4 linked regions of the Arabidopsis thaliana genome follow. The protein of the gene in region 4 purifies or fractionates together with the protein of the main gene of each other region. This does not show direct contact. Each region holds a gene or a part of one and is shown on either strand. Other genes may lie near its edges.

Region 1 (7,033 bases), on a different chromosome or scaffold from region 4:
CCACCAACAGAAACTGCAGAAGAAAAAGAAGAAAAAGAAGAAACAGAAGAAAAAGAGGAAGAAGAAGAAGAAAGAGTTAAGGAAGTCAGTAGTGTCTCTATCCAAACAAAGGAGAAAAGTGGACCGATCAAAGTCTCTCCACGCTGTGTTTTGTCACTTACTGACGAATCATTTCCGGATGAGTCTTCTAACCTCAAAAGAGACCCAACACATCAAGATTTTGTCACTCCGTCTCCTGAAAAGCTTTATGCTTGGCATCTTGAGAGTAATGGGCAAACGGCGGGAGGCACGGGGTTTACTAGAAGCCGAAGCTGCGGAGCAAGCTTTGTATCAAGCTCTTCCTTTTCTCTGTCTGAGAGAGATGCTAACACACCACCATGCTGGTATCAGAATGAAAGAGCTGAGAGCAACCTGAAACCGTCCAACAGCAAGAGGCCACCATTGCCAAAGCATATTAGCCGGATGAGCATGCCAGCAACTTGGTTCGAGAAAGACTTCAACCACACCCAAAGAATGCCAGCTGGTTTAGATGGTGTTAATATGATAAAGTCATCACCGAATGGATCACAGGTTTCTACCTCTAAATCTCATGTGTATGCACGCCAGACAAGTGGTAGAGCTTTAATCAGCCAAGACGAAGGTGAAGAGACTGTTCCTCAGAGGGACAAGCGAATCATTCACCTATCGGTTAGTTTTCCTAACTTGGTCAAGCAGAGCTTGCTTTTCGTTTACCTATACTTGGTACGACCTTTAGATATCGTCATTATTTTGAGAACCACCTCTATCATGGCAGATGGAGGAGATAGAGCAAAAATTCTTGGCTCTAAGATCGTCAAAGAGTTTCAAGGACGCTGCGGTTGACCCAATACAAGACTATTTAACCATGCCATTGAACTGGCCGTTGGAGTTCAAAAGACTCGAGATGGAGATAATAGAGCTATGGCATGCTTGCAACGTTTCCTTGTCACACAGAAGTTACTTCTTCCTTCTCTTCAGAGGAGATCAGAAAGATTGCTTGTACATGGAGGTCGAACTCCGTAGGCTCAAGTACATCAGAGAAACCTTTACCCACAATAACAAAGCTATTGAAAATGGACGCACTCTTACATCAATGTCCAGGTATATATATTCACCCAAAAACACCTTAAATTTCTTTGACGGTGAATGTATTCGGTTATTTAACTGTTTGGGCCATGAAACAAAACAGCCTGAGGGCGTTGAACAGGGAGAGGTACAAGCTGAGTCAGCTGATGCAGAAGAAACTGACGAAAGAGGAGAGAGAGAACGTGTTCTTGAGATGGGGTATTGGGCTGAATACAAAGCACAGACGGCTCCAACTGGCACATCGTCTCTGGTCAGAGAGCAAAGATATGGATCATGTCCGAGAGAGCGCCTCAGTTGTGGGAAAGCTCATGGGGTTCGTGGACATGGATTTGGCATCCAAGGAAATGTTTGGCCTCAACTTCTCACTTAGACCCCGTGCCAAGAAATCTAGCCTTTGGAAACGCAGCGTTTTGTCGCTCTCTATTTTGTAATTATAAAGGACAAAAATCCAAGCGATTCATTCCTGAGCACTAAATTAAAAGTGGTGTGGCTTCTGTGAGAAGTACATTCACAAATCTAAATTTGATTTGGGTCTGAGACTGAGATTGAGCAGTCTCAAATGTAAAATTTTAAAATGGCAAATCGCAAAAATCATAGATGATATGTTTGTGCGTTTAACTGTTTAGAGTCAGGTGATACTCTAAAGTCGTTAGCATAACCCGACATCTCAATAAGAAAAGCTCTTGTGTTTCTCTTCCGGTGAGTTTGAAATCTTTTCATGCAGTTTACTTGTGTGTCACATTTTTATTGACCTAAGAATGCTTCACATGCAAATCGCTCTCTCTCAAATGCCTCAACCTTGAACCTGCTCTTTGCCTTAAAATCCCAGTGATATCTGAATCTGAACCATGTTTATGTTTGTGTACATTAGCCAAATTCAGGGTGAATTGAAGTCATTTTGAAAGATTCATGAATTGAAGAACTGTAGTATATGATTCTTTTTGCTCCTTCATTCAAAATTCACTGCGCTTTCATCCTCAACTCATTGGAGGGAAACAATTTAGATAACTTAAAAAGCAACAAAGAAACTAAAACATAAAAAGACAACAAACAACCACCAAAGCAACAAAAAGAGAAAGAAAAAAAAACGAAATTTAAAACTCTATAAAAGCAGATAAATGTAAGAAACTCCATCTTTGTATAATTGATCAAATCAAGGTTGCTGCTTAGCATCCATGTATCCAGCATCAACAAGCACTTTCTCCCTCTTAGCAAGCTCAAGATCTTCATCAACCATCATCTTCACAAGCTTCTCAAACCCTACTTGTGGTTTCCACCCCAACACTTCCTTTGCCTTGCTTGCATCTCCTTGAAGGTTATCTACTTCAGCAGGCCTAAAGTACCTCTGGTCAATCTCAACATAATCTTTCCAATTGAGTCCCAAATACCCAAATGACACATCAAGAAACTCTTCCACTGTGTGTCCTTCCTCTGTTGCCACAACGTAATCATCTGGCTTCTCTTGCTGCAACATCAACCACATTGCTTCCACATAATCTCCTGCAAATCCCCAATCTCTTGACGCTTGCAAATTCCCAAGGAATAGCTTCGTCTGCAAACCAACCTTGATCCTTCCCAATGCTCTTGTGATCTTCCTCGTCACGAAATTCTCACCACGGCGAGGTGACTCGTGATTGAACAAGATTCCGTTACAAGCGAAGAGACCGTACGCCTCTCTGTAATTCACTGTGTACCAATGAGCAGCGCATTTGGAAGCTGCGTAAGGAGATCTGGGGTGAAACGGCGTCGTCTCCGATTGTGGAGGAGGAGTTGATCCAAACATCTCCGAAGATCCGGCTTGGTAATACTTGACGGTACGGCCACTGTCGATGGTGTGAGATCTGACGGCTTCAAGGAGACGGAGAGCACCGGTTGCGACTACATCGGCTGTGTAATCAGGGATCTCGAAGGAGACAGCGACGTGAGATTGAGCAGCTAGGTTATAAACTTCGTCAGGTTTGATCACATCGATCCAACGACGGAGAGAGGAAGCGTCGGTGAGATCGGCGTAGTGGAGTTTCATCAGAGCTTTGTTGACATTGTGTGGATCGATGTAGATATGGTTGATTCGCTGGGTGTTGAAATTCGATGATCGACGGATCAGACCATGAACTTCGTAGCCTTTTCCGAGAAGGAACTCCGTCAGGTATGATCCGTCCTGGCCGGTGATTCCGGTGATCAGAGCTATCTTCCTCGGTTCAACGACGGTGGAATCAGCTTTGGGAGCGGTGATGGATTCGGAATCGGATCTGGATCCGTTGTTCTCTGACGCCATTGTTGGGTTTTCGGATCTGGGATTTCAGAGACAAATGCTAACGTCAGCTCTGTGTTGAAAATCCGTGTTGAATTGGGCTGTTAGAGTTTTAGCTGATTTAAATAGGGTCAGAGAGGTTGAAGACGGAGGGGTATTTTAGTCAATTTCAGGATAAGGGTAGTTTGGTAATCTTTGTTGGTCTTTAAGTTTTTTTTAATTGACTATTGATTGGATATTTTCCTTGTTTATGTATAACACGTTAATGATTTACTTATTTTGTGGTCAAACTCATCAATGGTGTACTATAGAATTTTCTTGGATCATTTGCAAACTTTCCACAAAAACAAACATATTAAGATTTTCAAATCATTTTATGAACTGTCCAAACAAAAATAGTGAAAAGTATTTGAAAGTTTATAAGACAATAATTGCAAAAACAATTAGAGTGAAAAGTAGTCAAACAAAGCATTTAATATACATTTAGTGTAGTCAAAAATTAATTAAAAAGTTACAAATTTGATACATTAAAAATATTAGTAATTTTTTGTAGAAGCAATTACTATTTTGTACTCAACTGAAAAAATTGAGAGAATTGGATTGAAAAAAAAGACAGAAATGAAACTCACCATTTACTAAAAAAATGAAGCAAATGATAAGAGTATAACTTGGCTCAATGCCGAAACATACTAACATATATATTTAGTCTCTTGAGTTGTGTTCGAGTGGTGGACAATATGTAATCTCCACGATTTGTTTTAGGAATCTTATGCTTCAAATCACCTTTGTTGTTTTCCTTTTACAAATCTTCAATCATTTTCATTTATTTTTCTTCTTTCTGTCACAAATAATTGATTGGTTTGTCAAGATATGCTTTTATATATTATTTATCTTTGCCTGTTATTCTTTCGACAACCAAGCAAAGTGATCATTTGACCACAACAAAAAAGCGTTGAGACTTGAGACAAGTGAAAATTATAAACCATGCGTTGGACCATCTTATGCATCCGGAACTTAGGTATACCAACTTAGTCTTACCAAGAATTATATTCGATCAGACACTAATTAAAGAAGTTAATTATTTCATATGTTCGACAAGCATCAAAATGTGGCCCGTATTACTATCCATCGAACGAATATTCTAGCATTAGTGGATTTCTCCAAGCTAAACTACAATCTCAATCTAGAGGATGCAACACGGAAACCAAAACTGAATTGCTCAACAACCATGATTTTCAACGTTAATTATGGTGTTTGGTCACTTGACTCACTTTGGCTACAACTTGTGTTGAGGTTGATAAACCTTTGTTGTCATCTCTTATAATATTGGACTAATGAACTTGAAGACAGAAAGAAAACTTTAGACCACCGTGATAAAGAGGAAAAAACATTCCTAGGGTTTTTTTATCTATACAAAAAACCCGATCAAGTGGCTGATCTTTTTACTAAAGCATTGGGTAGTTCCAGTTTTAGAGTATCTTTTCTCCAAGTTGGGTGTTTTAAATTTACACACACCAACTTGAGGGGAGTGTTATCGAGATAGATGTGAATATGTCGAGCTAGATAGATATGAATTTTGTTTAGATGTGTTTAGTATCTCTAAAGATAAGGTTTAGAGAATATTGATGTACACACATAGGTATATACATGTATATAAGGGAAACGTATCCCAAGTAAATAACACAACTCAATTAAACCAAAGTCTCTTCTTAAGTTTACAAAACTTGACGAATTGTGGTGTAAAGGCAAAGAAGATTATAAAGGTCGTTCGAAGAGATGGGAATGTGATAGTTCTTCAACTTGTTCAAGTACTAGGAAGAGTCTATTCGGGCAATGGTGCAATAGGCAATTGAGAAAACAATTGAGGGTGTGAAACAAAGGGTTGCAATTTGGTTATACATGCTCAAGCCTCACGGTGAGCGCAATTTGTTTTTGGCAATTATCTTATTTGTTGGCTATTCTCTGAAGGAAAGAACATTAAAAAATTGGGCTTACAAAGGTTTGAATTCAACTTAGATTGCAAAGACTTAGTGATGGGCCTTATGGATGAGATTACTTGGGCGTCCTTGAGAATTGTGGCCCACGAAGTTCAAGAGATACTGATAGGATACATTCGACGTATTCCCCATTTCGTTTTACATTTTAAGATGATGATGTGTGAAACTAGTTAAGAAGGGTTCTTCTTAGTCCTAAAAGAGTTATTAAAGTTTTTTTAAAACTCTATAAAGTTTCGGGCTTCTTAATAATAAACACAGAAATGATAATGGCACTTAAAAAAAAAAATCATAATTCTCTTAAGATTTTCTGACCAATTGTCCAATAATCATTGTCCAATAATGGTATTATTTGCTTATTTTTTTACTACATAATCTAAAGTTAATCAATATCCTTTAATCCAATAATAATGACAACAAAACTGTGTCACTTTTCTAGTGGGGTATAAAATATATAATAATATGGCTCTTCTCCTAAAGTACTGCAAAGAGAAGAAGATCTCGTTGACGCCCCAAAAAATAACCAGAGGTAATGGTTCCGCTTCCATGGGAGCTAGAGGAAGATATACTGTCTCGACTTGCAGCCCAATCTCTTGTTCGATTCAGATCCGTTTGCAAACGATGGAATTATCTTTTCGATGAAAAGAGTTTCATCAAAAACCACTTCGCTCGTGCTTGTCCTCAGTTCATCTTCATGACCGATTCCAATATTTATTCGATAGAGATCATCGGTCTCGACGGCGTTGATCCAACGATTAAGTTACGTGTGCTAGACTCCTCTGGTATCCCTTACCGTGACTGGAAATTTGCTTACATAACCATCACTGCTTGCGATGGGTTCTTGTTTTGTAACTCTTGGGCTAGTCCTAAGGGGACAGCTTTTTGGAATCCGTGGTTGAAACAGGTTAAATGGATCGAGTACGAGGATAAAGGTTTCAATGTCTGTGGCTTAGGATACGATAATACTAGAGACGGAAAGGTTTACAAAATCTTGGGGTATTTAATGTGTCGCCCTGAAGATGGGAGCTCTTACGTATACCACCAGAGAGTTGCGATCTACGACTGTGCCTCTCACGCGTTCAAGTTTATTGAAATATCGAACAAGGACTGGTTCCTAACCGATGTTACACGATTCAGTGTGTCTTTGAACGGAAATCTCTATTGGCTTTCTCCTATTCCCAACACTGATGACTTTCTCATCCAATGTTTTGATTTCTCTAGGGAGATATGCAAACCCTTTTGTCTTCTTCCTTGTCGGAAGTTTGATGCTTTCGATTTACTTGTAAGTTTTCAGGGGAGATAGGTTATCCTTGTTAAAGCAATGTTATAAGACAAGGAAGGTTGAGATTTGGGTTACGAAGAATAAGATTGATACTAGTAACAACAATGGATCAGACGAAGTTGTGTGGATTCACTTGTTGACGTTGCTACCAAATAACTTGCCAAACTTATTTATCGAGTGTTATGGCATTAGTTACTTCATCTATGACAAGACCACCTTCATCATTTATTGTGCTGACGAGAACACTTATGCGGCTTGCATCTATATTGTCAGGGGAGATTTGCTCAAGAAGTTTGTAATTGACACCATGGTTTTCTGTTGTTATAGCTGTGTTTATGCTCCCAATTTTATCCCCCTTCCTTTAATGTAAAAGTTCTGAATATAATAATAAGATGCTTTATT
Region 2 (6,622 bases), on a different chromosome or scaffold from region 4:
AGAAACGTCGTCGCATTTTGGATTTACATATATGGTCGTAATAATTCACCGAAGGAATTGATTTCGATGGATAAATAGAAGGTGAGAATCGAATAAGAAGATATATATAGGGCTTTACACTTACTCAGTTTGTTTCGTATAATGTATTAGTGACTCGAAAATATACGTTCAAATTACGGTGATTTATATTTTTATATATTTAATAAAGAAGTGGGCTCAAGGTGGGCCCAATAAAATGGGCTTTTGTCTACCATGCGTGGTGAAGCATGGCTTTGTGTTACTCATGCTTTGTCTCCTAGTCCTACCCATTGAATATCCAACGAGCTGGCGTTTTTTGTTTTAACACATTGTCGTCACTGGGGGTTTAAAACGGCACGCTGTTGTCTTGCACATGCGCGAAACGTCATATTGCGGTCTCCTCCTCCTTCTCCTTGGCGGAGTTGAGAAAACCTTGCTACGAGCGTTTCCAGATTTCTCCCAAAACGGAACTGCTGATTCCTTGAATAAAATTCCCTAATCGGAGTCTGTGAAGCAAATGGGAGCATCAGATTCAACTCTGCTAGGCTCTCAGGTAACTGATATATCGCGATTTGATTCTCCAGGCATCTTCCTGGGTCTATTATATATGCGAGATTGATTTATTCAATTTTTGATGGATTCTCAGGAAAATCGAGGTGATGTGATTACGACTATATCTCATCGATCAGAAATAGTCGATCCCATTCTCGAGAATCTTAAAGCTCTCACAGTAGTGAGTTACTACTACTCCTCTTTTGTCTTTCCCTTTTCAATGTTTTTTCGATTGAACATGTTTGCTCTTGCTTAAAAATATGATAATTGCAGAGTAGGCCAATATTGAAGTCTCCTCCCACGGAAAGTAGCTTAACAGATATCTTAGTGAGAAAAGCTCTATCCAGTTCCTCTTCCAGTGAGTTTTATACCTATCTGATTAGTTTGCTCAACTGAGTTTAGGAAGAGGACTTGCTGTTTTTATGTAACATGTTCAAAATGATTGATCGTTTGTTGTGTGGAAGACAATTTATTCATAGAAGAAGACATATCTTTGGACTTTTTTTGTTTTTGCTAATGTATTCGTTTACTGTTAAAGCTTCATAATGAAAAGATATTTTCATTCATCTACAAGTCTCCTTTTTTCAACTCTAATTTTTTGCCTTTGTTGTCAACTGTTTCCCAGATACGGTTGATCCTCAAATACTTGTAGAGCTCTTCTCCATTTACCGAGAATGGCAAGAGAACAAAGCTCAAGAAATTACCAAGAGACAGGTCTCTCTTTCTGCCTTTTTTTGTATGTATATGAGTGCAGTCTTTAAGAAATTTTTGCTATTAGCCGAGAACTTAAACTAGACTTCAGGCTACTCCTAAGGGTTCTCTTAAATTGAAACAGACACTAAGATAGTGTAAGTTTTTTGAGCTTTTGGTTTGCAAGTGTGGTGCCAAAGGAATGTTTTCTTTTTGGAAAAAAAAGAAAAAAAATCAAGTATAGATGTTCTACTTTCTTTTGCTCTTATGGTTTAGTGAATTGAAACTGAAAATTACAAGTGTTCATTGGTCTGAAATCTTGGTTTGCATCACTATGATGTCTTTAGGTGTAGCAATTAAAGGGAAATGAATTTTAATATGTTGCATCATGTCTTTAGGAAGATATAGAAAACAAGATAGAAGTCGCAGATGCTTTGGCGACTAAACTTTTACAGAGGTTTAACCACTCTGTTTCTGCAATGAGGACAACTGCCCAGCATTTATCTCAAGGTAATTATTGTAGCGTAGATTAAGATAGAGATGGATTTGCCACTGGACTGCATTATCCACTGATCTTATATATGTGGAACATATTTCTAGTTCATGGTTTGCAGGTGGAGCTCGGGGAGCTTAAAGGAAGATTGACAGAGGTGATCAGCAACTGCGATACATTATGTAAGAGAATTAATTCTGAGGGACCTGAATCTCTGAGGTCCACAGTGGCGCCTTTTTCTCTTGCATCTCCCGATTCGGTCAGTATAAATACTACTACAACTCTGTCTTCTAAACCCGAGGCATAAGAGTAAATACTCTTAATGGTAGTTAGATTGGTGAATCGAATACGTGTAGTTCTACAGCATACTTTCTGATCTCCTCTGATTTTGCATAGATGCATGATGATGCTATTGATTGATCTTTTTGTTACAAATCATTGTTTTCTTTTGTCATTTCATCTTTAGGCTTTTCGATTTGTACAATCGCTTGTGACCAGTAAGAAACCATTGTTCTGATAAGGGGAAAATTCATATGTAATAAATATGCTTTGTTTGCCTTTTGATACAAAATCCACAATGGACGATTGGCAGTGTATGGAGTTGAACAACTTGAAACAACGAAAGAGAACAACAACAAATGAAACAAAATTACATTTCAATGAAAAAGCAGATAATGATTACTCTTCTTTGCCACCTCCCCATATCAAGGTTGCTGCTGAGCGTCCATGTAACCAGCGTCGGCGAGCACTTTCTCCCTCTTGGCCAGCTCAAGGTCTTCGTCCACCATCATCTTCACCAGCTTCTCGAACCCTACTTTTGGCTTCCACCCCAACATTTCCTTTGCCTTGCTTGCGTCTCCTTTCAGATTGTCGACCTCCGTGGGCCGGAAGTACCTTTTGTCGATCTCGACATGGTCTTTCCAGTTGAGCCCCACGTACCCGAAAGACACGTCCAGAAACTCCTTGACGGTGTGTGATTCCTCAGTTGCAACCACATAGTCATCTGGTTTCTCCTGCTGCAGCATCAGCCACATTGCTTCCACGTAGTCTCCTGCGAAACCCCAGTCTCTTGAAGCCTGTATATTTCCCAGGAAGAGCTTGGTCTGCAATCCGACCTTGATCCTTCCCAAGGCCCGAGTGATTTTCCGAGTCACGAAGTTCTCGCCTCTGCGAGGTGACTCGTGGTTGAAGAGGATTCCGTTGCAGGCGTACAGACCGTAGGCCTCTCGGTAATTGACTGTGTACCAATGAGCAGCGCATTTGGACGCAGCGTAGGGAGATCTCGGATGGAAGGGCGTGGTCTCTGACTGCGGAGGAGGAGTTGACCCGAACATCTCCGAAGAGCCAGCCTGGTAGTACTTGATGGCGCGGCCATTGTCAATGTTGTGAGATCTGACAGCCTCCAGGAGACGAAGAGCTCCAGTAGCGACAACGTCAGCAGTGTAATCAGGGATCTCGAAGGAGACGGCAACGTGGGACTGAGCAGCAAGGTTGTAGACCTCGTCAGGCTTGATGACGTCGAGCCAACGGCGGAGGGAGGAGGCATCAGAGAGATCACCGTAGTGGAGCTTCATGAGAGCTTTGTTGACGTTGTGGGGATCAACGTAGATATGGTTGAGTCGCTGAGTGTTAAAATTGGAGGATCGTCGGATGAGGCCGTGAACTTCGTAGCCTTTCTCGAGCAGGAACTCGGTCAGGTAAGATCCATCTTGGCCAGTGATTCCGGTGACCAGTGCAATCTTCCTCGGCTTCACAATGTCGGAATCGCCATTGAGAGATCTGGAGGCCATTGATGGGTGGGTGCAGAGTCAGATCGGATCAGAAGAAATGATTGGGCACGTCGCGCTTTCTGTTTTTGATTTTAGCGTCAACTGATTCGATGACTTATATATAATAAAGCCCAAGGACGAAGAAGACAGAGAGAGAGGGTTACTTCTGTAAACTTTAAAGGTGAATCTGTATGGCTACGTAAAGTTGTACTTGTATGGCAAATCGCCGGCAAGCGTTGACCGATTACGAATATTTTACTATCTATTGGGCCAAGATGGGCTTTAAATTACTGCTAATTTTATTGGGCTTATATATATATATAGCTCTACGGGTTGCGTTCAGACTAAACATCATTGTGGACTTTAGTAATTTGCCTTAAGTTAACCCATTTAGTTATATTATACTCGGCCTTATAATAACCATTGATTTTTTTTTTTCCCCACACGATCTCAACTTGCATGTCCTATTTATTAGATTCAAAATTCAAAAATGAAAGCGTAAAAATAAAAAACACGTAACGTTAAAAGGAGTAATTGTGAATATTAAAAGAATATGAGTGGTGGAAATTAAATCGGTGAAAGTAATAAAAAAAACGATTAGGAATGGGAGCCAATCAGCGCCTCTCTATTTGATAGTATTTATTTTTCTCCACTGGGAAAGTCAAAAAGTCATAAAAAGTGTGGTTAGGGTTTTCTCTCTCTCTGTTCTATCTCTCCCACAGAACACAAAACGTATCGCCGACGCCTCTCTTCTTATTCATATCTGTCTTTCTCATTGTCGAGTTTGGTCTAACATCTGATTTCTCGTTTCGTATAGAATCTGAGAAAGTGGTTAGTGAATAGACTTTAGAAAGAGTTTGCGATTGAATTTTTGTAAGAGAAATAGTAATGATGAAGAAAACGAAGAAAGGGAGAGTATCGTGGGCATCAGATAGTATGCTTTGTCAGGTATAGCCAACCCGTCGTCTTCTTCGTCGACCCAATCTTGTTCCTTATTCTTCTCTTACCTGCAAATTTGTAATTGTTCGGTTCGGACTTACCAGTTATCAAAGTTGGAATCGGACAGTTAACAAACGAATTGATTTTGATTGATTGCTTTTGATTAATTATTCTTAATTTTAAATTTACACAAAGATAAAACCTTTTCCATAAGTCACCGTCAAAGCAACAAACTTTAATAAGATGACGTTTTTTTTTTTTTTTTTTCTGGTAATGGCGAATCTAATTAATTAATTTTGTGTGCCTGAATGTTGATGACTTGATGTTATGAAATCTTCTTTACATAGTAGGGACATAAACAGCAAGAAATCCCAAAAAAAAAGAAGAACAATGTACCAATGTGGTCACTAATTTTAGAAAGATTGTGTTCCTCCTGAAATAGTGAAACATGTAGGACTCCCCTTATATATATAACTCATGTAAAAAAAAGGACTTTGTGGCTGCTGAGTACACACGCATTTGGTTACTAACTAAGTAAAGGATTTGGACAGGTAAAGTTGTTTCTTAGTGATGATTGTCCCGTTAAAGTTGCATCGAATCTTCCACCTGGTTTTGAAGCTACTGATTATGCAACGAAGCGAATCATCTCACACATTCCTCGGATCAAATGGAAACGCCCACCATTGGTATAATTCTTTTCTTGAATTGCAAACAATGTGACCCTTCTTGTTTTTATATAACTCTCACTGTCTTTCTTTATTCGCCGCCAAAATAGTTTGTCCTCGATGATGCTTTGCTTGTTGGGAGTGGTGGAAAAAGCATCGAGACTCGTTCTGAGAATCTTAGGATTTCTAAAGTCTTGGAAGCTTTCTATCCACATCGCTCTGTGATCCCTTCTCGGTAATTTTATCATTTGAGGATTTGCTTTTGTGCCATGTCATGTTTTTCCACTTATCAAATTCTCTCTGTTTTCTTCTAGTCCTTCGCTCACACTAGCTGTTGAAGAAGAACACTATGACGACGGCAAAACTCCTAATATCCCTCTCACTCACGTTGAAGATGAACGTGACGCTGCTGCTGAATCTTCCCACAGTTTCGAAGCTCCTGCAGCTGTTTCTGGACTTGGACCAGAGTTAAGTCTTCTTGCTTCTGCAGCTTTGTCTGCCTTAACTAAGGAACAGGGCTCTCAGGTCGATCCTGATTTACTTGTCAAGTTACTCAGTGACCCCAAAATCGTTGAGAACTTGATCAATGGCATGAAAGGTAAACCACTTGAAACTGCAAATAACAGTCTAAACACTGACATCACCGAACCTAGACTTGCTCCTCAACATGTCACCTCCACAACCATGGACAGAAACCCACCTCCCATGCCTGGAAATGTTGCGCCACATAATGTACCTGTTTCGGTTCAGTCCAGTGCTACAGATCCTCCACTCCCCAAACCCAATCAGCCCATGTCCAGTGCTCTCTCAATGAACCTTACCCTCCAGAAACCCACCCCGGTTGTTCACAACTATCCATTGTCTTCTGGGATCAAAGTTGAGGATTCTTACACAGCTGCTCCCTTGAAACCAAGCACAGGGGATGATGTTGTAGTCTCAGAACAAAAGACCCAACTCCTTTTCCCTTGCAGCTCTTGGAATATGAATAAGGTACCGGAGTCAGCGCGAACTGAAACAGATCCTCAAATCCGTAATGGTAACACAAACCGGGATGATCAGGTTTCTGCAAAACCCGTGAAAGATCTAGACTACTTCAAGAACCTCATTAGGGAACATGGGGCAGTCAAACCGGCAACAACTGAAACTAACAATTACAAAGGAAGAGTTGATCATAAGAAAATCGTAAAGGTTAGGATTCAGAAACCGTGCATGTATTTTAACAGGCCCAAGGGGTGTCGGATGGGCGAGAGTTGCTTGTATCTTCACGACAGTTCTAAAAGGTTATGGACTGATGTTGCACCTCCTCACTTTCCCAGAGCTAAGAGACTCAAGTTTGGATCGTAATACAGCTACGATATGACTCAAAATTTAACACCAAGCATGTCTGAAATTATTGGTAAATAGCTTCATCCAAATTCTGATAACTTGTTTAACAAGTTTCCCAAAGTTAGTCAGTCATCCATGTTTTTTTTTTTTGGGTCCACCCGTTGCCGTAA
Region 3 (7,736 bases), on a different chromosome or scaffold from region 4:
ATTCAACAGGATATCCCGGATCTTCGTTCAACCAACGATTCTCTCTCTCGAACACCATCTCATCGAGCTTCCTCACATCATCATCACTCTCGCCACGCACCGTGTCGTCTCTAACCGGTAACGAGAGCTTCGGAGCTTTATATATTAAGAAATGCTCAAGCGAGGTAACGAAGGACGTCTCTGGTCGGTCCGACGGGTTGGGATTGGAGATGGAGGCTCGGGAGGAGGAAGAAGAGGTGTAGAGGATGACGAGTAGAGAGACGGTGAAGAGAGAGCCGATGAGGATTAGGGTTTTGGATCTGGGTCTGGAGGAAGTAGAACGATGATTTTGCTGTTTTCCAGACATTGTGAGATCTGCTTCTTCGAAATCTGAGTTCGATTACAAATTTCTGTTACTCAGTTGTTGCATATTACTATGAATGTGGAAAGTGACGATGCGCTTCACTTAACCGCGATTGCGTCTGCGACTGTAAACGCTAAATTGAAACAAAGTTTGTGTTCAAATGTGCACGATAGCAATTGGATAGATGTCAAAATGTGTTTGATAGCAGAAACTAGAATAGAATGTATTTCAAATCTCATGTGCCATCATAACAAATCTCCTTTATAAACCATCACACAAGTCAAAGAGATCTCCAAACACAGATTACTTACATTGAACCTGTTCATTCATACTACCAATTAAACACCAAATACATTATAAAAGATTTATTATGTCGCCTGAAAGTATCCGTCTCAGAATCGAATGAGATCGTCGTTTTTGGATGAGGACTGCTCCTTTTTTGGGTCATGATCTGGATTAGTCGAAGAATCACAGCCGTTTTTCTTACCGAATATCATCTCATCAAGATCATCCATCATGTCATCTCCACTACCACCCCCTCCATGGAATCCACCTCGAACACCAGAAGATTTTCTAACCAGAGATTCTTCTCTTCCATGAATTGGAGAGTCATCGGGCTCTTCAGCAACGGGAATCATGGCTGGTTCATGTGAGGTTAGCGGTGCAGAGGGTTTGTTCATCTCCTCATACTTAGACAGCGTTTTCACTAGCTCGTCGTTCACATTCAAGGCTTCGAAAAGAAGGGCTTCGTTTTCACCTGCTGTTTCAATGATTCTTTGGACAGTGGTTTGAGATTGACGACATTGTTGTACAAGTGTCGTTGTTAAGTCATCCTGCAAATCAGAGAGATAATGAAAATATATCGCCGATATCCCATGTTATATCCATTATTACATTAGAATTACAGGAAATGATGCCTAATAATTCCGAGTCAATTTACCTGTAAAGCATCATGTTGAGGCGAGGAGGACAGAACCGTGGAAAGAAGTTCAATGCTGTTTCTTGCTATATCAAAAGCTTCCTTTGTCTGCTCAGCAGTAAAGCTTCTTACAGGCACATCATACTGGATATGTGCAGGTTCATGCACATGCTGAGGAAGATCAGCATTCAGTTCTGGTGCTGGAGTTGACCGAGCAGGAGTGAAAATAGGTGCCAAGCTTTCGTTGTCTCGTCCAGGGAAGCGAATACCTCTTGCTTTTAAGCTCTATAGTATAGGAAAAAATATAAAAACATTAAAGACCTAATCATAATGAATTCTGACATCAGACCTCACAGCTTTTCATTTTTCAATCAATTCCTGCAACAAGCTAGTCGATTGAGCCAATTCATTGAAACAATAGTCATTTGTCTGTTTTGTTCAAAACCCATATGCTTTGGCCAAAACAGTTCAACTCAACATAAGATAGTGGTATCTTCAATAAAGTATTGTAAATGAAACTGTATTGTTGAATTTAATAGCGTAAAATTATTTGGTACCAGGTCATAGTTACCTTATAAGTTTCTTCGAAAACTGGTAGGTAGCGAAGTTCACTGGTTGATTCTCCCCAAGCTTCAATCAGCATCAAAGCTTTGTTTCGGTTATTAACAACTGTTTGTGGATCATCAATCAGCTTTACCATTTCATCAAGGACTCTCTCTGCTGCCACCTCTGAAAACGCCTTCTCACAGTTCTTAACACACGTCTCGAGCAAAACCAAGGCAAGGTACTGAATCCTCGGCTGCTTCATCATAATCCTCTTCTTTATACCACGGATCAACTCAACGCTATTAATTGTCTCTTGATTTATCATATCACAAATTTCCAAATTCATATCCCAGTCAGGTTCCTCTAGATTCTCAGTAGTAGCATCTTCGACTATTTTATCAGTTGGGTTTGGACCTTGAAAAAGTTCCTTCACTTTAAAGCTCATTGAGCTCACACCAGCACTGATCTTGTTGCTCACTTCCGAACCTCCGATCTTCAGGCGCTCACCAAATGCGGTAACTTTGTCCATAAGATTGTCACCCATCTTTGCTGATACTCAAAAACCTGTAAATGAAAAACAGCAAGAACCTGGAATTGTACATACAGAACAAACCAGAAAGCAGCTGAAACATCAACTTGTTCAAGTATCCTTCAATGATACTAAACAATAACGAGCACGAAAGGAAATACTAACAATCAATAATATACACCTACGAATTCTGCAGAGATTCATACAAAATCAAATACACAAAAAGGTTCAAACCCGGTTAAACCAGGTTTTCAGATACGATCTCTTCGATCATACAAATATTCTTCTCGATCCAACAAAATTTGCTCAAGGAAACTGGTTTAACCAGAAATTAAACAGTTTTTTACGGATGAATGTAATTAGGGTTTGCTGAGAAAAACCGAATTCGATATTCGAAGATCAAAATTCGAAAGAAAATAGAAAAATTCGTTTTGGTCAACAAAAACCCTAATAAGGAAAATAACATTTCATATGATCGAAAAACCCAGAACTAGATCGATCAACACGGAAACAGTAACCAAAAAACAGCGAAATCACAAGTAAATTAACGCGAATTTCTACCTTTGAGATTGAACAAAGAGATGAGAAGCTCGAAGAACAAAGCTCGATCTGGTAATAGAAGACGGAGACTAGAGAGGAAAATCTGCGACAAGGTCAATGCCCGTTGACGCCGTACAAATCCTGAAGAAGAAGAAAACTGCGTTCCTTTTTTAAGTGTTTGGTCGTGGGAATTACTTTATCCTGACTATGTTTCCCTTCCTTTACGCTAAACATTATTTTCAAAAAGATATGCTTTTTTATTTTTATTTTTTTCATATCAACCAATCACGTTACGCAATTTCATCCAACGAACCAAAAAATAATCGATCATTAAATGTTTTTTTTTTTTTTTCTTGCCAGTAAAATCTTCACGCCGGTTTCAGGAAAAAAAACTTCATCATCGGAGCCGTTTCTCTCTCTCGAACTCGTAAGCTTTCTTCGATTCTCTTCTTTAGACCATTGATGAGAATCTTAATTGTTCCCTTTCTACTGTAGAAACTTGAGCTAGATTACGTTGAGGTAATTCAATTTTAGATACTCAAATTCAATCATTTTGTTGTCTGTAGGATTTAAGTATTTGAATCTTGCCAATGGATTTGACGTGGTTAAGTGCCCTAATTGTTGGAGCTGCACTTGGATACTGCATTGGCACTCGCCGTTCCAAACCTGTTGTTGCTGCTGTTGATAAGGATATCAAAACTCAATCCTCCAAAAGTCCACTCGAGATTGAGAAACTCGCTGATATTCTCGATGATTTCAAGATGGTAGTTAGCTACATTTTTCTCTCTACTGTTATGGAATCACAAAATTGTTGAATTGAGTTTTGTATACTCAGGTTTTGGTGGTGAGAAATGATCTTAAAATGGGTAAAGGAAAGATTGCAGCTCAATGCAGGTGATAAACTAATCATGCTCTCTTTTACTATTTTAAGTGTTTAATTCATGTTTATCATTCTTACATTTGAGTGTTCTTATTCTGATTCGTTTTATTGGTCTGCATTTCTGCAGTCATGCAACTTTAGGATTATACAAGAAGCTTGTTCGTCGAGCGCCAAAAGCATTGGACTGGTATGCCTCTAAGTCATGATCAATTCCATTTGTTACTTAATATATGGATTGAATTAACAGTATAGGTTGCTATTGCAGCTGGGAGGAATGTGCACAGCCAAAAGTTGTTGTGAAAATCGAGGACGAGGACGAGATGCTAGAATTGCAAGTGAGTTTACTAAAACAAATTGTAGTAGACTGTAAAGTGGATTTTTTTTATTGAACTATATTTTGGATTCACAGCTTTAGTGCTGTTGCCAAATTGATCTTCACGGGCTTTGCAGGAGTTGCCAGATGTTAGTTTCTTGATAATTTCTGAGTTCTGACCATATACATGAATACTTAAGGGGAATTTGAGATATCATAGAGCTTATCTTGATTTTTCCCATTTCTTATATCTTGTATTGACTGTTCACAAAATTGTCAGGAAAGAGCTAAATCCCTTAAACTGCCTACCCATATCACCATTGATGCTGGAAGAACACAGATTGCCCCAAGTGAGTTTCATAAGTTCCTCCCCTCTTGAACTTGAAATCCCTTGGTGCTTTAAACTTTATGATTGCTAGTTAATTGCCAGGGAGAAAGCTCTCTTGATTCAATCTTCTTTCGTAAGTATCATTTTCTGCGAAAATGTGAATCTAATAATACGTCATGTTCTTTCCAGATTCAAGGACGGTTATGGCTATTCTTGGTAAGTTGTTATTTTTAAGATATGTGTTTGAAAGTTAAGACTCTGATGGACAAGTGATGAGTTTGAGAGTTGCAAATCACACTTACCCTAGAGAAATGTACTAGTTTATTAGTTCATGACTTCTCTTGATTGCTTGGTGCTTGTCCTTGACCCTGAATGGAATCTATAGTTCATAAGAATCCAAAATATGAAATGTAAGCTCAAAAGTTGACTCGGTCAGAAGAGGGTGTATACTTTCTGCGTGGTATCCAAATTCATATGCACCGTTCTATGACCAGGAGTTAGAGATTCTTGTAGCAGAATTTGTTTATCGGATATTATCAGCATTTCTTAACACAACATTCCAACGCTTATAGATTTTACTTCTGCAGGACCAGTCGAAGTTGTTGATGAAGTAACAGGTGGACTAAAGCTTCTTTAGCAGATTCGAATTTCGATATGACATTTCTTCAACCTGATCTCTCAGATGGACCAAGCAGAAAGGAGAGACATGAACTCCACCTTCTCTGTTCGCCCGAGGTTACCTGTGAGAAATCTGTAGTTGTTACGTATACTCGTTCCTGATGATGACGAAATATTCATTTTAAAACATTTTCCCCATTTTTCATGGGCATGTAGCATTTCCCTCTACCAATGGTGATATCATCTTTTTTTGCTGGATTTGTATTAGAAGTATCAAAAGCTCGAGCCTTTTTTGGCACATTGAGAAAATGGCTTGTTCTAATGCCAGTTCATGGGAGTGTTGGCTATATGAACATTTCAAATGTAACAACAGATCTTGTTTATTGAAGATAAACCCATGGTATGGAGTGTGATTATCTACCAAAAATAAAGAAGAAAGCTATTCATCTACAAAATTTGCTTAAATTATATAATCTACATGAGGTGTTTAACACAGTGCTTATTATCCCTTTCTTTGTCCCTTTAGATCGTTCCTGAAATCTGCTGTAGCCATGTCAAAACCCTCAGGTTGCTTCCGTGTTTGGTAGAGTGCATAGAGAGAGCATCATCACCAGTAACCTTTGCATGAACACGATCCATTTTTGAAATGATGGAAGCGACTTGAGTCCCTCAATATAATATCATGATCAATGATTCTGGACATGTATGTGAATGCTGTATGGCAATCACCACATACCCGTAAATTCTTAGTAATCCTGATAGCAGCACCTTGCGGAGTTGTTAGAATACCATATGCAAGAGCTAACTTCTCACTATGCTCGAAAAGAAGATCATCTTTCTCTTCATCGTCTACATCATGAAGAGCAAAGCCTGTTTCAGGAACATAACCAATGTCCTTGATGCGTTGCATGTGATCTAAGAGGACCTGGTATATTTCCTTAGCGTGTGGATGAGTTTTATCACCCACGAAGAACGTAGTAGTTCCTTTAATTCCTTCAACCCAACTACAACCAGGTCTTTTCTTAACTCCTTTATGTCTCATCAATGATCTGATCCTAGTCACATCTTTCCAACGCCCTGCATTTGCATACAAATTTGAGAGTAATGTATATGATCCATCATGATTAGATGCTAATTCTGTTATTTTTTCCGCAGCGTACTCCCCGAGTTCAACTTTTCCGTGGATTCTGCAGCAACTGAGAAAAGCAACCCATACCACAGGAGGAGGCTCCATTGGCATTTCTTCAATGAGACGCAAAGCTGCATTCAACCGGCCAGCACGACCTAACAAGTCAACCAAACATGCATAATGCTCCGGACCAGGACTAACCCCAAAAACAGTTTTCATTCTATTGAAATACTCCATGCCCTGATCAATCATTCCTGAATGACTACAAGCATATAATACAACAAGTAATGTAACACCATCAAGCTTAAAACCTATTCTCCTCATTTCATCAAAGATTCCAAGAGCTTCTTCTCCATAACCATGCATACCATAACCCGTCATTAGAGATGTCCAAGTAACTTCATTTTTCGCCATCATATTGTCAAATACAAGGCGGGCATCACTGATGCTTCCACATTTTGCATACATGTCTATTAGACAGTTTGATACGAACAGCGGTACTGCATTCTGCTGGTTGCGCAACGCATAAGCATGAATCTGCTTGCCAATTCTTAGTGCAGCCAAACTGGCACATGCCACGAGGGCACATGATATGGTAAAAGCATTTGGTCTTGTTTGGCAATCTTCCTCAAACATCTCAGATAAAAGTTCGAGAGCTTTATTTGCATCCCCGTGCTGGGAGTATCCACCTATCATCACAGTCCAAGTCACAACATCCCTTTCCTTGGGGGAAAGTGAATCAAACATAGCACGTGCAGTATCAACCTTTTTGCACTTAGCGTACATGTCAATCAGTTGATTGATTACCATATTCTCATCACCATGACCGTTCTTACGCAAGTCTATGGGATATTTGATGGCATAACAATGAATCTCTTTACCATGCATCAATGCTCCAACAGAAGCACAACCCGAAAGAACCGAAATAAGCGTGACTTCATTTGGTTTTATCCCAGAAGACAACATCTGCCTACACACACCCAAAGCTTCATATCCAAGTCCCCGTTGAGCATACCCTGAAATAGCAGCACTCCAAGTAACAACATCCATTTTTATTTTCTCTTCCTGCATCTTCTCAAATAACCTAACAGCATCTTCAAACCTTCCAATCTGTGAATACCCAGCAACCATAGCATTCCAAGATACTACGTCCTTCACTGACATGTTCGAAAACACCGTGTTTGCCTCATCCATCATCCCACACTTTGCATACATATCCACCAAGCAATTCCCTACAAACATATTCTGTATCATCTCACTTGTGACTGCAAAACAATGCAATTGCTTCCCTAGTGAATGAGTTCCTAGGGAAGCACAAGGAGGAAGAACATTCACAAGGGTAATATTATCAGGTCTACATCCGAATTCATTGGTCATCCTGCTAAACATTTCAAGCGCCACCTTAGGTTTGCCTAACTTTGCATAACTTTCTATTATAGAGTTCCACGATACAACATCCCAAACAGACATTTCGTCGAACACCTTCCGTGCATCACTCAATGAACGACAACGGGAATACATAGCAACAAGCGCATTCCCAACAAAGACATTGGAGATAAATCCAGTTACCAGAGAAAGCGCGTGAGCAGAT
Region 4 (9,090 bases):
CAGGAAAAAATCGGTTTGTAAAGAGTTAATATCTTTGCGGATGTAGTAATATGATATCCACTTAGCTTTCCATAGACCAGAGTTTAATTTTAGTTTGGTTTCTTAATTATTGTGATTAGTTTAAGAGTTTGTTGTGTTGAGTTAGGTGATATAAAAAGGAAACCTCCACGAGCGGGGAGGATAATGGACCCCCACCATGTGGCCTGTCTTTTTTGTTCACTTTTGTTGGGACCTAAACAACAACAACTTCTTCCAACCATTTGCAAATTGTTTTCTAATTTTCTTTCTTTTTATACTATTGTTGATACTATTATTGTTATCTCCGCATGTCGTAGTTAAATTCTCATTTGTCGTAATTCACGGCACAAGACAATATTTTCATTGCCCATTTGATGAGGGAACTATGAGATGACCCACGTTGGGTCCACGTGATAGGTGAGAGTGGTGAGTTGCTTCTTTTCATATAGCTATTTAGTTTGGATTCGTTTTCATTTTAAAATACATATATATAACTAGTAAGTTTCAACAAGTCACATGATCGCATTTTGTAGCTTTGTCCAAAACAAGGTAAAACAAACAAACACATCTTAATTCATGTTTCTATCATTCTATGCGTGGCTCATCTCATCCAAACATCATTGTAACACGCAAAACAAACGACGGCTCAAACACAACTACTATATGTTAGGTCTTTGTACAACGTTACATTAGTGAACAAAAAAACATCTTACCACTTATTACTAGTATTTAATCATATTACAGTTCAATTAATGTATTTGAATGTTTAGTTTGGGGTTTAACTAATGGTAAATATGTTACTATATCCACTCCGTTATAATGATTTATTGCTGTGAGATGTTCGTCCATTTCGATAACTGCAATCTTAATAATCTCGTAATTCTTCTCTATATATTCAACCCCAACTGCGTCCAATCACCAAACACATTCTCATTCCACCAATTAAAGAAAGCATATCACTAAAAAAACTCTGAGGACCATGGAACTTCACGGAGCTCTAGTGGCTAGTCCGGGCATGGGACATGCCGTACCCATCTTAGAACTCGGTAAACATCTCCTGAACCACCACGGGTTCGACCGTGTCACTGTCTTCCTAGTCACAGACGATGTCTCACGTTCGAAATCCCTAATTGGAAAAACGTTGATGGAAGAAGATCCAAAATTTGTGATCAGGTTTATTCCACTCGATGTTTCGGGTCAAGATCTGAGTGGTTCACTATTGACTAAACTAGCAGAGATGATGAGGAAGGCATTACCAGAGATCAAGTCTTCAGTCATGGAGTTAGAACCGCGGCCTAGGGTTTTCGTAGTTGACTTGTTGGGCACGGAAGCTTTAGAGGTGGCTAAGGAGCTTGGGATCATGAGAAAACATGTTCTGGTTACTACCAGTGCTTGGTTTCTAGCTTTTACGGTTTATATGGCGAGTCTTGACAAACAGGAGTTGTATAAGCAGTTGAGTAGCATAGGAGCATTGCTTATACCCGGATGCAGCCCGGTTAAGTTTGAGCGGGCTCAAGATCCGAGAAAATATATTCGGGAACTCGCTGAGTCTCAGCGTATTGGGGATGAGGTGATAACCGCAGATGGGGTGTTTGTGAATACGTGGCACAGTCTGGAGCAAGTGACCATCGGGTCTTTCTTGGATCCAGAGAATCTCGGTCGGGTTATGAGAGGAGTGCCGGTTTATCCTGTTGGACCGCTGGTTAGACCAGCAGAACCAGGTTTGAAACATGGCGTGCTGGACTGGCTTGACTTACAACCCAAAGAGTCAGTGGTTTATGTTTCTTTTGGGAGTGGTGGGGCACTAACCTTCGAGCAGACAAACGAGCTGGCTTACGGTTTGGAGCTGACTGGCCACAGATTTGTTTGGGTAGTCAGACCACCGGCTGAAGACGACCCATCGGCATCAATGTTCGACAAGACCAAGAATGAGACAGAACCTCTCGATTTCTTACCCAACGGGTTTCTAGACCGAACCAAAGACATCGGTTTGGTGGTCCGTACATGGGCACCACAAGAAGAGATTCTGGCACACAAGTCAACAGGAGGGTTTGTGACTCACTGCGGATGGAACTCAGTTTTGGAGAGTATTGTGAATGGTGTGCCAATGGTAGCTTGGCCGTTGTACTCAGAGCAGAAGATGAACGCGAGGATGGTTTCTGGGGAGCTAAAGATTGCGTTGCAGATTAATGTTGCAGATGGGATTGTAAAGAAGGAGGTGATAGCTGAAATGGTGAAGAGAGTGATGGATGAAGAAGAAGGAAAAGAGATGAGAAAGAATGTTAAGGAACTGAAGAAGACAGCAGAAGAAGCTCTCAACATGACTCACATTCCATCTGCTTACTTCACCTAAAACTAATTAGCAAAAAGTTGACAATTTAATAATATCAAAACGATAAACATAATGTTCTCTTTATGGTTCAACAACTGAGAATCTGCTATGAATAAAGACATGTGGTCCAGAAACATGAACTTTGAATGCAAAACTAAAGAAAATAATCTGTGTATGACTTGAATGTTTTTGGTTTACTAGTGAGAGAAGTGAAGGAGCCATTGATAAACATCTATTTAAGAGAAATCTGGGAGGGGATCAAGCGGATACACTTACAGGTTCGGTAGCTTTCTTGAGCCATTCCATTTCAGTCTGGTTCATAAATGGGGCTAAGATGTCTTTGCACTTCGAATGATATGTGTTTAACCAGTCAATCTCTTCCCGTGTCAACTCGTCTAGATCGATAAGTTTCACTTGATATGGTGCCTGGAGAGAGAGAGAGATCGAGAGTTACTCAGATGTGCATGTTGATATGAGAACTACGGTATTAGTTAACAGACAACGAGTAAGTACCCAAGTGATATGCTCGAATTGCAAGTAGCCCTTGTCGCCAAAATTGAATTCAGTCTCAGCGTCATTGACAACAAGAACATTCTCCAACCTAATACCAAAGTTCCCGTCTTCATAGTAACCAGGTTCTGCAAATAAATGAATATAGACAGCTTTTAGAATATGATCAAGGTTAACCCGAACAGGAGAACTACCGAGTTTTTGTTGCAGACGGACCATCTGTTACAGTCATGGTAGCTTGAAGAGGTACATTCCTGGCACTCGGTCTGAAACTAACTTGGTGAGGTCCTACATATTAAACCATACATAATCATCGCAGAAAGTTAGTTGATGACATCTAGAATTTCAAAAACATTATTATCAATGACTCGATATTTATAAGAAAGAGAGAATAAAAAGAGGTATCTCATAACTTGCCTTCATGAACACAAAGGTAAGAACCAACTCCATGACCAGTACCATGTCGATAATCCAACCCATACTTCCACAAAGGAGCTCGAGCAAGAATATCAAGTGTATAGCCTGTAAATTCAGATATAGCCAATGCAACATATAAAAGATCAATAGCCAAATCTCAAGTTGGTACAGAAACAAAATTCAAGGAGATCATAACTTACCGTTTGTTCCCTTTGGAAACCGAGCATTTCCTAGTGCAACATGACCCTTGAAGACCTAAGGATGCGGCACATTGAACATATATCAGCAAATATGCTTATTCCAAATAAATAAGAATGTAATATTCAAAAGGTTATCATCAATAAGTACATACCGCAGTATAGCATTCCTTTTCATGAGCTGAAGGTTTTCCAAAGTGAACCGTTCGGGTTATATCAGTTGTTCCATCGAGATACTTTGCAGAAAGACAACAACAACGAAATTGTATTATAGAGCAAAGACTTTGATAAATACAAGGTAAGCTTATAGTATACACTCAATCATGTGATATTTACCTGTGCTCCTGAATCACATAAGTAAATTTTGTCGGGGTCCATCTCGGCACAAGCTTCTGGCTCTGGTGAATAATGAATAACAGCAGCGTTTGAACCAACCGATGATATAGTAGGAAAGCTTAAACCTCTAAAATGCTGCAACCACACGAGAAATGTGATTCATCTCTTTCATGGAAAGACAAAAGTTTAATATGTTATATGTAAACATTACCTCTTTTGAAGCTCGAAGACTTTCCAGCTTATCGCTCACAGTCACTTCAGTAAGCTTAGAGGTTTCTCTGTATTGTTTTGTTTTTTGCAGAAGAAAAACTCATTGCGTCATGAATCATGGAAAAATGGTTTGCAAAATCGGGAAAAACAAAACAAAGAAGAAAGAAGAAGCTTACGATGGTTTCTTTTTGCTTGCCTCTGCTTCCAAGAAGTATCCAGATGCTCCATAGAGCTCCTGCATCTATGGTTTCACAATGTTGAGTGACATAATCAATCATCAATATAGTAGTAGTGTTCAAGAAACAAAATTTTCATTTATTCAGTACCTGATTGTCGAGCCAAACAAGGTACTGGACAACAGCAGCACCATCACGAACATGTGCATTCTTGATCCCTTCGAGCTCAACCGGGTTCTAACATAAGTGAGAATAAGCATGTATGAATAAACTAAAACACGTCGAAAGAGATCACTCGTTTCAAAAATCATTCTTTATTACCTTCAAGGCTTTTGAGAGGGATATAGGGGATGGTTGCAGAAGGACCTTCTCAGCATCCAATTTGGAGTAAAGTGCATAGCAGCACGAAGCAGGATCCACCCATAACCGATCAGGCTGGTCAGAATCAATCTCCATATCCTTTGCAGCCTCATGTTGGACAGTTTTAGAGGCAAATGAAGAAATAAGTCGATCCGAAGCAAGCAAGGCCACATCTGAGATCACATCTGTGTATTCCCGGACTTCCACACCGAGCCCATTGAAATAAGAGTTTGCCTCATCAGACACTTTCTTTTTGTCAACATAGAGAAACGCAGAGTCGGTGGTAAGGATTGCAAACGCATGAACAACGGGACAATAAGCAACATCAGTTCCACGGATATTATATAGCCAAGCAACCTGCATCAAACCCCCAATCAAAATACATTCCAAAGCTGAACTGAGAAAAAGAGAGATCTTTTTACTACGAAAACACACCTCATCAAGAGCAGCGATGACCAAACCACGAGCACCCTCTTGCTTAAGCTTTGCCCTCAAATCTTCGAATTTATGGGAAACAGAACGGCCAGCAAACTCCAAAGGATGAACAACAACCGGACTCATCTCAGAAGGTGGACGACTCTTCCAAACTTCATCCACAAGATCAGTAGTTGTGGTGATTAGTTTCTGATTCTTCTTGGCAAACGATTTCCCCCATCTATTCGCAGTGTCTACCGAGACACACCATGAATCAACACCTATATTTGCCTCTTCAGGTAGATTCTACATTGTTAAACCATAAGCTAAATCAAAGAACACATCTCAAAGTTACAAAATTTATGGATTGATCAAAAGATTAGTTGAGGACTAACATCAGACATCCAAACTTCAACAAGAGGATCTTCTCCCATCCGCATTAGTGTCCACTCATCGCTAAGCTGTTGCAATGCTTGCAAGAAGTATCGACCATCTGTCCAAAGTCTTGCTTCCTTCTTCGTGATAAGTGCCAAACCTATATATTTATAATCGCCGATCAAATTCAATTCACTCTCGATCAACGATTCAATTCTAACAATATTTGAATCCAGAACAATAGAAAATAGAAACAGACCTGCACTTCCACTGAATCCAGACACGAACTCACGGCGTTTGTCTCGTGCAGAAACATACTCGCTCTACATACAATTTAAAAATCGAAACTTTCACTCAAATCAATGAACAATACATGATTAAGTAATAGTAGACGTATAATCAAGTAATCTGAGATCGGATCATGAATCAAAAAAGGGTAATTCAATTGAAAATAAATCAAACCTGGTGATAGTCTTCGGAAGGAACAACCAAAGCATCAAGAGGAGGAGAGTGAGAGGCCATTAGTGACCTCAACGAAGAGAGAATCTCGGACATGGCGATGTTTGGAGTTCAGAGAAGAATTTGACTGCTTCAAGGACGAACAGAACACAGATGCAGCAGCAGATAGATATAAAAAAGTACAGATATCACAGTTTTATGTTAGTAAACTTTACGTGTTCCAAGGAATCCTAATGGCTGACGCAACTAATTATTTTTTTTTCCTACACTTTAACGATTTGTGAAATTATAAGTTTTTGATAAAATATCCAATCAACAACTCCAATGAAAGAACACGTAATGAAATTTTGTTTTTATTTTACAACAAGGAATAAATAAGAGACAAATAATATAAAGAAACATGTACACACTAACCATTAATGGCGAAACTGAAAACACTCATAAAGAAAAGAAAGAAATTTCGATGGAATTGAGAAAAGAAAGGAAGATTTTTTTTTTTATGATTATTTAGCAGGAGGAGGAATTGAATGAAAAGAGACAAATAGAGGAAGCAATTTTTGTTTTTGTTTTAAGGTTGAGCAAGTCTTTTGACTATTGCAGCCATGTAGTTTCCTTGATGTTCAGCAAGAGCCAATTCTGTTTCTGTTGCTTCTCTTGACCCATCACCAGCGAACACACCTGCTCCATAAGGAGAGCCTCCACGTATCGAGTCCATCTTGAACATTCCAGCTCCAAATGTGTAGCCTATTGGTACAAATAGCATCCCATGGTGCACAAGCTGTGTGATTGCTGTCCATCTGCAACAGAACACACACGAGATGGAAATCAGCAAGTGTTTCTGAGCTTTAATGTGGAAACGATGGCAATAAAAATATCCACATTGCACACTTGGAGAAATACGCAAAAGCTTTAAGATTCCGCATTGTTATGCTTCTCTATATTCGCAAACTATCACAGCAACCGAGTGAATCAGCTGAAGTAAAACAGACAAATATCTAAGTGCAAATGATGACTAAAGAGAGTCCACATACATTGAGGAATCTATCTCAGAGCTTAAACACATGCAAATTATCGGAGGCAACACTCATGCCTATAGAATTGGTACTTTGGGTGATGAGAAAGTGAGAATCTAAAATAATCCAGTTTTACATGTTCTAAAGATCTCCCCTTACTAGAGCTAACATAAGCGTAGCATAAGTGCAAGCCTATCGTACCAAAAGAGAGACCAGGGTACTATTCAATGGTGACCAGATTGGACTTGAAATGGTCAATGGTGTAGTTAAGAAAGCAATTAAAGATCAAGCAAGCAATTCACCAGAATGATAGCCATCTCTGACAAGTTTCCTCTAAAGTACTAGACAAAGTCCTGACCACAACAACCTTTCAGGTTTTAGCAACCACCTATATACATCAAATTCAAGGTTGCATTTATTTCACATAGTGACTCTGTGATTATAGCAATTCAATACTTGTACTCCAAATTCAACTAATATACTTTAGAACCAATGCAAATGGTACTAAAGAGTATAAGAAAGAAGCAAAAGCTTACGCAGTGGTCTCTTGGCCACCTCCTTGAGTGCCAGTGCTCACAAAGAATCCAGCAGGCTTACCAGCAAGACTCTGCTCCTTCCACAATGATCCCGTCGAATCAAAAAACGCCTTCATCTGCGCAGCCATACAACCATACCTAGTCGGAAATCCAAACAGAAATCCATCAGCCGCCGTCAATTCCGCCGCCGTAATCTCCGGAATCTCCAAATCCTTAACCGGCGCCTTCATCTGCTCAACAACCTCCTGCGAAAGCGTCTCCGGAACTCTGTACAACGTCGCCTCCACTCCTTCGACGCTATCCACTCCCTTTTTCATCCTCTTCGCTAAGCTCTCCACATGTCCGTACATCGAATAGAACACGACGAAGATCTTGAGCGGTGACGAGATCTTAGCAGCCGTAGTAGTAATCGCTGGTGTTGTTGTTCCTCCAGTATTCGTCGCCGTTGTTCGATCGCCGTCAATGGTGGTTTGATCATCGTCAATTTGGATCGGAGCATTAGTAGCGTCGTTATCATCATCGATTCCGGGACCATCGCCGGTGGTGGCCGGCTTCTTCTTCTTGCTCGGAACACAACCTCCTCCTTTCCCCATCGAGAATATTCTCTCCCAAATTTTCCGTCAACGATAAGTTGGATTAATTTAAAATTTAAATAAATGAAAACAATCACTTGAAACAACTTTAGTTGTATTTTTAATCACCACTCTAATTTCGTGATTAAAAATGGGGTTAAGTGAAGATTTAACAGCTCACTTTATCACACTCAGGTCTACAAAAACGGCGCCGTATATGTTACGGTCAATTTTGAGTTGATAATTTGGGCCTAGTCTGTTGGTTTCATACAAGGAGTCCAACGTCTGACCTTCGATCACTTAATAGGCTTTCATTGGGCCATTTATGCTATGAGAAAAAACCCAAAATATAACTGAGCTCATTCATATTGGGCCTATCAATAAGGGATCCCCGATCAATATAATGGCAACAAGTAACTGATTAGTGATTAAAATCAAAATTTATTACAAAAATTGTAATGTATAACGTTATTAATATTCCGTTTTGATATCACATTATATTAGGGTTAACAAAATGACTAAAGTTGTGAATGATATATGTAATCGCTCCGTAATAATATGTACATAGAGAAAATTGTTTTGACATTATTTATAAATTATTAGCCTCTAACTATAATATGATGAGGGTGACTCATCAAATTTATCTTGTAAAAGTTTTCTCATTTTTTACTACTTTTTAACGATCCAGAATCTAAATTTGATAAAGAGAGAATCGTTTTTACTTTTTATGCATGAGTGTATATAGTACAGGTATATAAGTAGTATTATAATTAATTGATGTATATGATGATTGCTTTCTTAGTGGCTAACCCGATGGTGTCTTTTGACTTGTTCGAAAGCGTACTAATTTAAATCTCTAGCGTAGTCAAATTAACCTAATATCCTCCTACCTACGATCTAGAGAAAAGGAGTTGCATGAAAATTATCAATCATAATGTTACAATTAGAAGAAAAGCGAAGCATATCTTTGGAGAATAATAGTTAATAGTTAAACCAAAAGTCAAATTTCAACTATTGGTTATAAGTAATTGAAATTTCAAACGCTACTGGTAGATTAATGTTAAAGAAGAAGTACTTTAAAATGTTGAATCGAACATGCTAAAAATTTGGTATTTATTATACTGTGGTTAGTTAGAGCTAATGTAGATCTTATCTGATTGGTTAA

What was found.
Region 1: the proteins of APP1 (region 4) and MUR1 fractionate together in Arabidopsis thaliana (co-fractionation; one large-scale study listed by BioGRID). This does not show direct contact.
Region 2: the proteins of APP1 (region 4) and GMD1 fractionate together in Arabidopsis thaliana (co-fractionation; one large-scale study listed by BioGRID). This does not show direct contact.
Region 3: the proteins of APP1 (region 4) and AT5G16880 fractionate together in Arabidopsis thaliana (co-fractionation; one large-scale study listed by BioGRID). This does not show direct contact.

Annotation. Positions count from the first base shown.
Region 1 is NC_003074.8:19,004,975-19,012,007, forward strand, and holds MUR1 (NAD(P)-binding Rossmann-fold superfamily protein), read right to left. Parts: upstream 3,751-7,033; 5' UTR 3,380-3,750; coding exon 2,258-3,379; 3' UTR 2,019-2,257; downstream 1-2,018. Other genes in the region: AT3G51150 (ATP binding microtubule motor family protein), read left to right, coding at 1-687, 794-1,119, 1,208-1,535; AT3G51171 (F-box and associated interaction domains-containing protein), read left to right, coding at 5,882-6,652. UniProt on the Arabidopsis thaliana protein: Catalyzes the conversion of GDP-D-mannose to GDP-4-dehydro-6-deoxy-D-mannose.
Region 2 is NC_003076.8:26,473,355-26,479,976, reverse strand, and holds GMD1 (GDP-D-mannose 4,6-dehydratase 1), read right to left. Parts: upstream 3,812-6,622; 5' UTR 3,544-3,811; coding exon 2,458-3,543; coding exon of another isoform or gene 2,346-2,457; 3' UTR 2,223-2,345; downstream 1-2,222. Other genes in the region: AT5G66290 (uncharacterized protein), read left to right, coding at 536-571, 665-751, 844-928, 1,196-1,284, 1,659-1,770, 1,861-2,012, 2,346-2,681; AT5G66270 (Zinc finger C-x8-C-x5-C-x3-H type family protein), read left to right, coding at 4,411-4,470, 5,013-5,147, 5,237-5,361, 5,441-6,470. UniProt on the Arabidopsis thaliana protein: Catalyzes the conversion of GDP-D-mannose to GDP-4-dehydro-6-deoxy-D-mannose.
Region 3 is NC_003076.8:5,544,274-5,552,009, reverse strand, and holds AT5G16880 (Target of Myb protein 1), read right to left. Parts: upstream 3,094-7,736; 5' UTR 2,899-3,093; exon of another isoform or gene 2,373-2,898; 5' UTR 2,353-2,372; coding exon 1,834-2,352; intron 1,548-1,833; coding exon 1,284-1,547; intron 1,177-1,283; coding exon 736-1,176; 3' UTR 501-735; downstream 1-500. Other genes in the region: AT5G16890 (Exostosin family protein), read right to left, coding at 1-346; AT5G16870 (Peptidyl-tRNA hydrolase II (PTH2) family protein), read left to right, coding at 3,468-3,641, 3,713-3,771, 3,885-3,944, 4,023-4,092, 4,351-4,420, 4,588-4,614, 4,986-5,035; AT5G16860 (Tetratricopeptide repeat (TPR)-like superfamily protein), read right to left, coding at 5,624-7,736. UniProt on the Arabidopsis thaliana protein: Might contribute to the loading of the ESCRT machinery.
Region 4 is NC_003075.7:17,323,498-17,332,587, reverse strand, and holds APP1 (aminopeptidase P1), read right to left. Parts: upstream 5,972-9,090; 5' UTR 5,901-5,971; coding exon 5,808-5,900; intron 5,669-5,807; coding exon 5,605-5,668; intron 5,506-5,604; coding exon 5,366-5,505; intron 5,277-5,365; coding exon 4,992-5,276; intron 4,914-4,991; coding exon 4,518-4,913; intron 4,434-4,517; coding exon 4,347-4,433; intron 4,262-4,346; coding exon 4,197-4,261; intron 4,089-4,196; coding exon 4,022-4,088; intron 3,946-4,021; coding exon 3,811-3,945; intron 3,711-3,810; coding exon 3,630-3,710; intron 3,533-3,629; coding exon 3,478-3,532; intron 3,383-3,477; coding exon 3,278-3,382; intron 3,149-3,277; coding exon 3,077-3,148; intron 2,989-3,076; coding exon 2,864-2,988; intron 2,777-2,863; coding exon 2,627-2,776; coding exon of another isoform or gene 2,609-2,626; exon of another isoform or gene 2,374-2,608; coding exon of another isoform or gene 2,244-2,373; coding exon 2,205-2,243; downstream 1-2,204. Other genes in the region: AT4G36770 (UDP-Glycosyltransferase superfamily protein), read left to right, coding at 998-2,371; AT4G36750 (Quinone reductase family protein), read right to left, coding at 6,373-6,601, 7,354-7,946. UniProt on the Arabidopsis thaliana protein: Catalyzes the removal of a penultimate prolyl residue from the N-termini of peptides, such as Arg-Pro-Pro. Aminopeptidase that binds to the auxin transport inhibitor N-1-naphthylphthalamic acid (NPA).